Linked DNA regions of Oryctolagus cuniculus. The protein of the gene in region 2 binds, or shares a complex with, the protein of the main gene of each other region. Links are inferred from orthologs where the notes say so. Each region holds a gene or a part of one and is shown on either strand. Other genes may lie near its edges. The genes, in order: THOC1, CHTOP and THOC7.

Region 1 (2,860 bases), on a different chromosome or scaffold from region 2:
CTACAGCCCTAAAGGATGGCTTATATGGGAACAGGAAAAGCAGAGGGTACCATCTTAGCCATTACCATGTACTGCTTTCACATACATCTCATTTGAACTTCATAATCTCTGAGGTAGACTTAAGACATCTTTTTAAGGTTAGAAGAGTAAGGTTTTTAAAGGTGGGAGTTGGCAAACATTTTCTGTAATGGGCCAGATGGTATATATTTGAGGCTTTACAGGCCATAGGTGTCTGTCTGTTGCAAATACTTAGTGTTGTAGGGCAGCAGGGACCATGGCCAACAGGATTAGGCACAGTGAGTGCCAATACAATTTTAATTATAAAAACATGAAGTGAACAGATCATTTGCTCAGTTTGTGCTGTAAAGCATGAATAAAGTGGAATAGAGTGGTCTTGGTTTCAGAAGGTGTTAATCGGGGATTTCAGAGCCCTACATTTTATAACTAATAGGGTGCAGGAAACTAATTTGGTGTATGAAACAACATATCCTTAAATATCACTTAACTTCATTACAAATACATTTAACAAAAATATATTTTGTGATCTTGAGGTCACCTCATTTTGGTCATTTTTCCCATTCCCAACCCCCTCCAACCCTGAGGTTTGAGCCAATGTGTGTTCTATGGTTCTTGGAGCACCAGCCAACTGTACAACAACTGTTATAAAAATGTTTATTGTTTACCAAAACCAGTGGACCTCTTATCAAATGCTGCTTGGTAACAAAATCTTATCACAGTTTTAATAAAAAAAGAAAAAAGAAGCTAACTATTTGTCTCATTGTCATTAGTTAGACTTTCTGCAAGGTCACTTAATCCAGACTTGTTCAGAGCGTTAATCAGATTCTCTGGTGTTGCATGCACTCCCTCTTGATCTTGCCAGGCAACTAGGAGCTGCCTAGCTCTCATCTTCACATCTTCACTGTCACACTCAATCTGCCTAATTTCTGAGTCTTTCATTTCCAAGTAGGGAGCCAGAATCTTCCATTGTTCACCGAGCTTGTTGGCAAATATCTCTATTTGTTCCCCTGTTACAGGTTTGTCTCGCCGAACATCAGGACCTAGAAAAGAGAGATTATTGTATAATACATGTAAAGGACACTATACAGCAGAACTGGACAGCTATGGGGCCACTGAATTACCACTTTTAGTAAGCTTTCTTGTAACATAACTTTTTTCACATTTTCCATGGGTGAATACTGCTCTTATGATCATGATTATTATCAACAGCTGTCCCCCTCCAGTAGTTATCAGTTACAACTCCACTTCTCTACATTAAAAATACCATCACTTCCAAATTTTATTGCAAAAATGTAGTATTTTTTGTTGTTAATTCCTATCAGAAGACAGTACTGAGATAAAGAGGCAGAAGTTGAGAAGTGGTTTGGATGAAATAAACCTACTTCCCCATAAAGAACCCCAGTCTTTTCCAATTTTGTAAAATAACTAAGAAAACTGAATTCTTACTTTCATTTTCCTTCAGTAAAGCATCATTATCTTCCTCATCTTCATCTTCACCTGTTTTTATTTCTTCAGAAGGAGGCTAAAAATGAGAAAAGATGTTTAAAAGAATACTACCTTGTGAAGTAAGATAACTGAAGATGCTTTTTAAATAAACAGAGGTTTGAGACTCTTAAGTACAGGACCCCAGTACCTTACCCTCAGGAGTGCTAAATGTGAATATCAGGTGAGGATTACAGGTAGGAAGATTTCCCCCTGTCCCCAGCCTGCACTGAAGGGAGGCAGTGAAAAGCATGGGAAGCTGATGTGCAGAGACTAAAGGTTTGGTAGAGAAGGCCGGAGAGCCACAGTGTCCTTAACATTTTTTGAAAATTTTATTAGATTTCAGTCATATGGTATTATCTAATGGTAATCCATGCTGTAATATGGTTAGAAAACTGTATTGGAAAAGAGAACAGGAACAAAGGGCAAATTCTCTATTTTCTACCCTTAGCCCCTGTTTTTGATGAAAGACAATAACGGCAAATGGGAAACATTCATGTGTGAGTTTAATGGCTGGATAAATAGCTTACCTAAAATATTGTAGACTTGTATTAAGTTACGTGCTACAGAAAACTATCAGCTACTTTATTTCCTGGAAGTGTACATATTCAAATTATTTTTTTCATTCTAAACAGGGAAGTTTGTGCATTGCTATTTTTGACATGATAAACAAATCTCAAATTTTGCTCATTTCTTTGCTCACACAGTGACAGTTTTTAAAAAGATGACGTCAACTACAGAGTACGAGACAATCTAAATTACTTACTGGCAATTCCTTGGCTAGCTTTATTACCATGTTCTCAAGATATTCTGGCAAACTTTTAAACTGCTGGTTGGTTGGCTGGAAGAAATGAGGGCTTCTTCGCGCTAACAGTCTCAGGGCTCTCCAACCGTAATTTGAATTGTTCACAGCCCTACAAAGAGAGATGTCAATTGTATAACTTAGTGTTTTCTATTTGTATATTCTCTTCTATTTAATTCTGCCACATGACATCTGTAAGGTAAACAGAGCAAAGCAGCCATTCTTGTCATTCTGTCCAACTCCTAAAGACCATCTCTGTATGCAGGGCACATGTACGTAATAGAAACCAACTGCATGAAGAGTCAGCCTCAGACGCAAGCACATTTAAAATGTTTACATATATTTTATTTGGTTTTTCTATTTATAACATGTAAGCTTTAACTTGCATTAATGCCCACTTGAAAGAATAAAAATGGTTCAAATACTAAAAGTAACAGCCAACACAGAGCTGGCAAGAACAGCCATGAACGTCCCTACTAAAGCCCAGCAGCAGCAGGTGGTTCCAGACAGTCTGAAGATACTGCTCCAGAAGCAGCGGAACTGCAGAGGAAGCCAAAG
Region 2 (3,662 bases):
GGGGTAGGGTACATACACCAAGACATCATTAAAGTAGCCACAGCATTTTGAGGAGCCCAACAAATAAGAGAAAATCCTGGCTGGATTTGAGAGAACAGTTTGTTATAATGAATCAGAAATACACAAGATTTCACAGAACCTGGAACAGTTGACAGACTATGGTTGAAATTACTTAAACGTTCAAGGGAAATGAGAGGAGTTCAGACAGAATCAGTGAGTGGAGAAACCCAAGACTGGTTTGGAATAAACACGAGACTAATTGCTTTTCAGCCCAGGTATTATTTTCTGATCCTCCCAGCAATTAGTCTGCCACTGCTCTTCCATCCCCGTACCTTCTGACGCACTGGCCAAACCAAATGGCTTTCTTCTTCTATATGAAGGAGTTAAACCAGCTCAATCCCTTGGGAAATACAAAGCCAAGAGGAGAGTGTATAAATCTCATTTGTGGGTAGAAAGGATCTTACCCAACCCAGCAAGCCTAGTTACCACACGTGTTACTGCACATGGTAGCAACTTCAATCAAACTTGAGCTTCTACCATCTATAAACTGTTTTTTGGCCCTTGGCAATGTCAGTGTTCCCAATTTACTACACTGTATACTGCATCATCAACACATTTCTGAGCTCCAGATGTTCTGAACACTTCTAAGAGGTTATTATACAGAACTTAATCTCAGAAACCTAGGCATTAGGGAGGAACAGTGGCTCTTTCTAGGACTTTTTTGTGAGGGAACACAGATGAACCGAGGAAATGAAGATTAGAGTATATGGCAGGTGAAGGGAGGCAGAGGTAGGAAGAGGGTATCCTAGCCGTAAGGCCAACACATTCATGTTCAAAGAGAAGTCTGCGAAGGAAACAACAACAAAGAAAAAAAGCAAAGCCCAACCAAATCAAGAGAAAAAGGGTTTCATACAACACAGTATCAAAAAGTCAAAGGAACACACTAAATGCACAACTGGTGGTAGGTTAAGTCCATAGCCTATTATGATAGGTCCTTCCAGCATCAATCAGGTTTCTTTTCAACTGTTATCTCAAGGTTATTTACAGATGTGGTGATTTTAGTAAGAGTCTCTCACACAACGGTGGGCAGGCTTCAATCATTGGTTTCAGGATCTGTCTGCGCCATGTAGGCATCCAACTCGGCATCCAGGTGTCCTTTAGTTTTCGACATGTATGCATCCAACTGGTTGTCCAGCTGCTCCTTCGTCAATACGGGGCGAGTAAGGGCACCTCTCCCTCGTCCACGGCCTCGGCCTCGGCCTCCAAAGCCCCCTCTTCCCCGACCTATCATACCCCGACCTGGCCCGAGGAAAAAAACAAAAACAAAAACAAGAGTTACAATTAGGCTTAATGAATGCTATAGTAAATGCCCCTAAGAGTAGTGGAGCCTAGCTGAGAAAAGCTGAAGGGCAGGGTAAAGGAGAAATCTGGAAACACACACACACTGGATAGAAAGCAACACATGGAAAGCACACATAATGAATTCCTTATTACATGCTCATCTCTAAATGCTACTTAAAATATTATCCGATCAAAGGGAAAATAGCTGCCAATTATAATAATTAAAAAAATTAATCTTTCCTAAGACAAAGAATAACCTAAAGTTTGAGACCTCACTATCAGTTCATTACTGAAATCCATTAGAGATAACCCCATATAGCGAGACAGAAAGAAAGTGAAAGGGCACAGAGAATCAAGGGTGTGAAGGCAGATAGTTTCCAAATGAAGCTTTACTGGAGACCCTTCAGGAAAATGATCTCATCTCTCTTTAAACTTAGTGAGGTCTAACAAGCTGACTTCCCCATGTGTCAGGAGACTGAGGAGTTATTTTGACACAGGAATAATGTGAGAAGATGGAAAAAAACATTTTGAATGGTCCTAGCCCCGTCTACCTCTGATTCTAGTCACCTTAGGACAATGTGGCTATTTGAGAGGTGGTTTCAATTCACTTAACAAAGCACACTCGCTTTTTTGAAAAGCTACTTTAGTCTCTGCCACCCCTGTGATGTCTCTCAGAAACCAAATCAAGATAATTCTAGAAACATGGTATTTCATCCCGAAACTCAAACTCCTTTGCAATTCACTCAATAAGCCAAGTAGCACATAATGGGAAAGCAAACAAGCCCTTGGTTATCAGATTTCCTACAGTTAATATTCCTTGGCAGCTTCATGGTCATAAATTATGGAAGACCCACCACACACTTTAAAAGGACCAAAGGAATATAAACAAGGGACCATAAGAACAGGTCTCCCCTTCCCCTACAGGTGTTGTTGGGAGTGTTTCATTAAGCTAAGTCAGAAAGCTCCCATGAGATTTGGCAGTAACACCATCACCACCACTAAGCTTTTCCAATCTGGGTCATGAGGTCACAAAACAAGTATCACCAAGTTTCTCAAAGGTATAATCATCAAGAGCCAGTGAGTTCACTGACAAGAGTATCATCTTACTGTCCACCTTGATCAGAAAGAGGCATCTAGGGTTCCCCACAGGCATGCTGAACTTGGCTTCAGAGACAGTGCCCGGCTCCAAGTCTACCTCACTCTGCCTTCATATTTGCACATCTCCCTCTTCTCTATTCTTATCTGACTCAAGCTGGTGTTTTGAGCTATGAGGGGTGTGTGTGTGTGGTGATGATTCAGCAGAGACAGAAAAGATCCCAAACTATTTAGTCATTTTTATAATAAAATTTACATCTGCAAGAGTCTGGAAGACTACATATAATCTGGCTAATACACACCTGACTGGTTCTTGGAAAAATGACAGATTTTTGCACTACCAGCATGTGAATTTGGAAAATAAGCCAGTTTCAAAAAACAAAACAAGACAAACATACAAGCCTGTCTACGACTTGAAGCTGTGCAGAAAGGTGGCTCTGAGTTTTTAAGGGAGGAAAATAAAAGGGAGCTACTCTCTGAAGTTGGTAGCTGACTAACCTCTACCACCGATTCCGCCACGACCCATAGCTCCACGCCCTAGGCCCCCTCTCCCAGGACCTCCACGACCTCGAACACCACCTCTTCTTAAGCCCATTCGGGGAGCTACGGCTCGTCCACCTCGGAGCAGGTTTTGACCTTGGAGAGGAGGCACACAATGTATATGCAGGTAAATCCAAGAGAGACAAAGTAGATTCTGACCAAAGGAAGGCAGTGAGGGTTAAATGAGTAATTGAGTTAATTTTTAGGTTGGGTGGGGCAAACTACACACAATGTGAGCAGATTAAAAAGCTGCTCTTTAATCAATTCAACAAGTCTGACCACAAATCCATTTTTGGAAGAAGTTGGTAGTAAGTACATACATTTAATACATATTTACTGAATAATCAGATAGATGCCTAGCATTATAGATTTAAAATAAACGGTTCCTGCTCTTAATACATTCTTGTAGGAATGAAAAACTATACATGGCAGTATAATACTGCCCAAAACATAAGATACAAGTTAAATGCTATGGGTCAACTTGTCCTCTCTTCCAGATACAGTAGTTTTTCACCAGCACCAGGAGCAGAGATGGTTGGTTAAGATATAGGTCAAAAGACCAACAAAGTTCTTACATTTGACTTATTTCTAGAACATCAATGTGCTTTTTGATTCAAGCAGCAGCACGGTGTTTTAAAATGGAATGGAGATGACATGAATTACCTGTTGTTACGCAGGTCATAGCC
Region 3 (2,746 bases), on a different chromosome or scaffold from region 2:
GGACTAGCTTATTTCACTAAGTATGTTTTCCAGTTCCATATATTTTGTTGCAAAGGACAGGAATTAATTTTTTTTACCACTATGTAGTATTCCATGGTGTACATATCCCATAATCTCTTCATCCAGTCTTCAGTTGATGGGCATTTGGGTTGATTCCATATCTTAGATGTAAATTGAGCTGCCATAAACATGGGGATACAGATAACTCTTTCATATGCTGAATTCATTTCCCTTGGGTAAATTCCCAGGAGAGGGATGACTGGGTCATATGGTACATCTGTATTCAGCTTTCTGAGGTATCTCCATACTGTCTTCCACAGTGGCTGTACCAGTTTACATTCCCACCAACAGTGGATTAGGGTACCTTTTTTCCCCCACACCCTCATCAGCATTTGTTGTTTGTTGATTTCTATATCAAAGACATTCTGATGTCTAAATATTTAAAAAAAAAGTGGTAATAATTTCCAGAAATGGACTCATTTTCTCGTGAAGATCCTAGAAATGTCAATGTCTCACAATCTTTAACTTAACTTTGTAAGCCAATAGATGCTACCAGTTAAAATGTTAGCAGTTATCAGTGCTACTAGATACTAACATAGTAAGAAGCACAAACAAATTCAGCTTGAAAACATTTTATTAAACATTTTGGGATGCTGCTTCCTAACTTTTAATAATAAAAAACAAGCATTTCAACAAAACCAAATCCACAGTGAAGGCATTTTCCTTGTGTAAAGAAATATGAATGAAATGTACATTAACATTTAAAACAAAGTATCTCATTGCCAAAACATTAACTATCTCATGAGCACAACAATTTCTAAGCACACGAGGATCATGTAGTGATCTTAATATTCCTAGGAATGATGAGTGATTAGCCCATCTATGGCTTAGGGTTGGCTTCCATACTTGTTTCTTGAGCTTCTTCTACCTCTGAGAGCTTTTCATCATCTGTAATTGAGAAAGAAACATACAACCTTAGTCAAATTTGCCCAAATTTTGTCTCTAGTGAATATATGAGAACACTGTTATCCTTTATTAGCCAACACACTTAAAGCAAAAATAGTGAAAAGTTAGCTTGTATCTATAATCAGCCCACATGAAGTGTTTCGTTTTTAAAATTGTATGGGTTGTTGTTGATTAGTTGAATCAAAATGCAAAATCTGCACGCTAGATTCTCTACCAAATTTTCCCCCAAAAAATCCAAGTCTTAGGCTCCTCAAAACTATCAGAAGATCAGGTAATAGGGTAATTTCCAGTTGGCTACAGAAAATATAAACAGCACATCTATAGTTCCCAAAGGCACTCACCATTCAATCAATGGGTATGCAAATATTCTTATATACTGAATACTTACCTTGCTTATCAGGGTTTTGAATCATTTCTTTATAGTAATAAACTATAATAACCAAGAAAAATTTTAAACTCATCATCATTAAATTTTTCTTAAGCTATGTCATATATTTAAGTCATGTATTAGTATAAAGTAAGGCTTTTCTGCATAACTTTATGAAGCTAAACAGCATGGATGCCTGCTAACATTATCCAGCTATTCTCCTATTCAGAAATGTAAGATATACTCTCTTCACAATGCATATTTCTTTTATTTATCTGAAAGTCAGAGTTACACAGAGAGAGAGAGAGAGAGAGAGAGAGAGAACAGAGAAAGAAATCTTCCATCTACTGGTTCACTCCCCAAATGGCTGCAACAGCAGAGGCTGTGCCAGGCCAATGCCAGAAGCCGGGAGCTTCTTCCGGGTCTCCCATGTAAGTAGGAGCCCCAGCACTTGGGCCATCTTCAGCTGCTTTCCCAGGCACAATAGCAGGGAGCTGGATTGGGAAGTGGAGCCGCCAGAACTTGAAATGAAGACCACAGGGATCCCAGCACTATGCCACAACATTGGCCCCCAAAATGCATATTTCAAAAGGCATCTCCCTGTATTAACACAGAGTTTTCATAAGCATTCATTTTGAGATTATTCTACTTACTTTCCAATGTTTGCTGAAGTTCATGGATGGTACTAAGAAGAACGTGAAACTGTTTACGTCTCAATTCAAGCTGTGTTAACAAGAAAATAAAATTTTGCAAATTGATGTATTATAAGCATATATGTATCACAAAGGCTAACATAATATGTAAATAAATACCTTATCTTCAACACTTTCTTTAATGTGTGAAAGATGCTCTAATTCTTTTCCCAGAGACTCTAGTTCCCTGAAAAAAAGTTATAGTTTGCCAATTGAAGGAACAGAATTTACATTTAATACCAAATTTCTAGTTACTAAATAGTACTTTCAAAAATAACAAATGGATAAGAAGTTTAACAATCTACTCTAACAAGATTTTCAAAGCTGAGGATTATTTCTTCTTAACTCCTTTTTATTATTTACAATTTGGACAAATTTTGAAAAATTCAAGGAAACAGAAAATAACAAATTCCAAGAACTGATACATTTTCACATACTGCCATTTTTTTTTTCTATAAAGATATAAGATACTGCTGGTAGCTCTTTGAACCTTACCCCCAGTCTTCTCTTCCAGGTCCTTTTTTCTTCTCTAGCCCTAGTTATGCAACCTTATTAAATATAATGCTTTTTAATGTATATATTTAATTCATGAATAATTTACAGCATTAATATACCAAATATTACACATAAAGTGTTTTGAGATGATTTAATTTTTATAAATGTTTACTATCTGTGTTTCACAAACTTAGGAATAATCTACAATTTATTGCATGTCTTATTT

Evidence for each region.
Region 1: CHTOP (region 2) and THOC1 share a complex: the UniProt entries of both Homo sapiens proteins name them as parts of the transcription/export (TREX) complex. The link is inferred for Oryctolagus cuniculus from reciprocal best matches to the Homo sapiens genes CHTOP and THOC1.
Region 3: CHTOP (region 2) and THOC7 share a complex: the UniProt entries of both Homo sapiens proteins name them as parts of the transcription/export (TREX) complex. The link is inferred for Oryctolagus cuniculus from reciprocal best matches to the Homo sapiens genes CHTOP and THOC7.

The regions. Positions count from the first base shown.
Region 1 is NC_091441.1:56,785,751-56,788,610, forward strand, and holds the end of THOC1 (THO complex subunit 1), read right to left. Parts: intron 2,415-2,860; coding exon 2,267-2,414; intron 1,541-2,266; coding exon 1,465-1,540; intron 1,059-1,464; coding exon 763-1,058; 3' UTR 659-762; downstream 1-658. UniProt on the Homo sapiens protein: Component of the THO subcomplex of the TREX complex which is thought to couple mRNA transcription, processing and nuclear export, and which specifically associates with spliced mRNA and not with unspliced pre-mRNA.
Region 2 is NC_091438.1:44,665,007-44,668,668, forward strand, and holds the end of CHTOP (chromatin target of PRMT1 protein), read right to left. Parts: intron 3,073-3,662; coding exon 2,935-3,072; intron 1,300-2,934; coding exon 1,094-1,299; 3' UTR 86-1,093; downstream 1-85. UniProt on the Homo sapiens protein: Plays an important role in the ligand-dependent activation of estrogen receptor target genes. May play a role in the silencing of fetal globin genes.
Region 3 is NC_091441.1:85,869,486-85,872,231, reverse strand, and holds the end of THOC7 (THO complex subunit 7), read right to left. Parts: intron 2,213-2,746; coding exon 2,146-2,212; intron 2,057-2,145; coding exon 1,987-2,056; intron 949-1,986; coding exon 881-948; 3' UTR 617-880; downstream 1-616. UniProt on the Homo sapiens protein: Component of the THO subcomplex of the TREX complex which is thought to couple mRNA transcription, processing and nuclear export, and which specifically associates with spliced mRNA and not with unspliced pre-mRNA.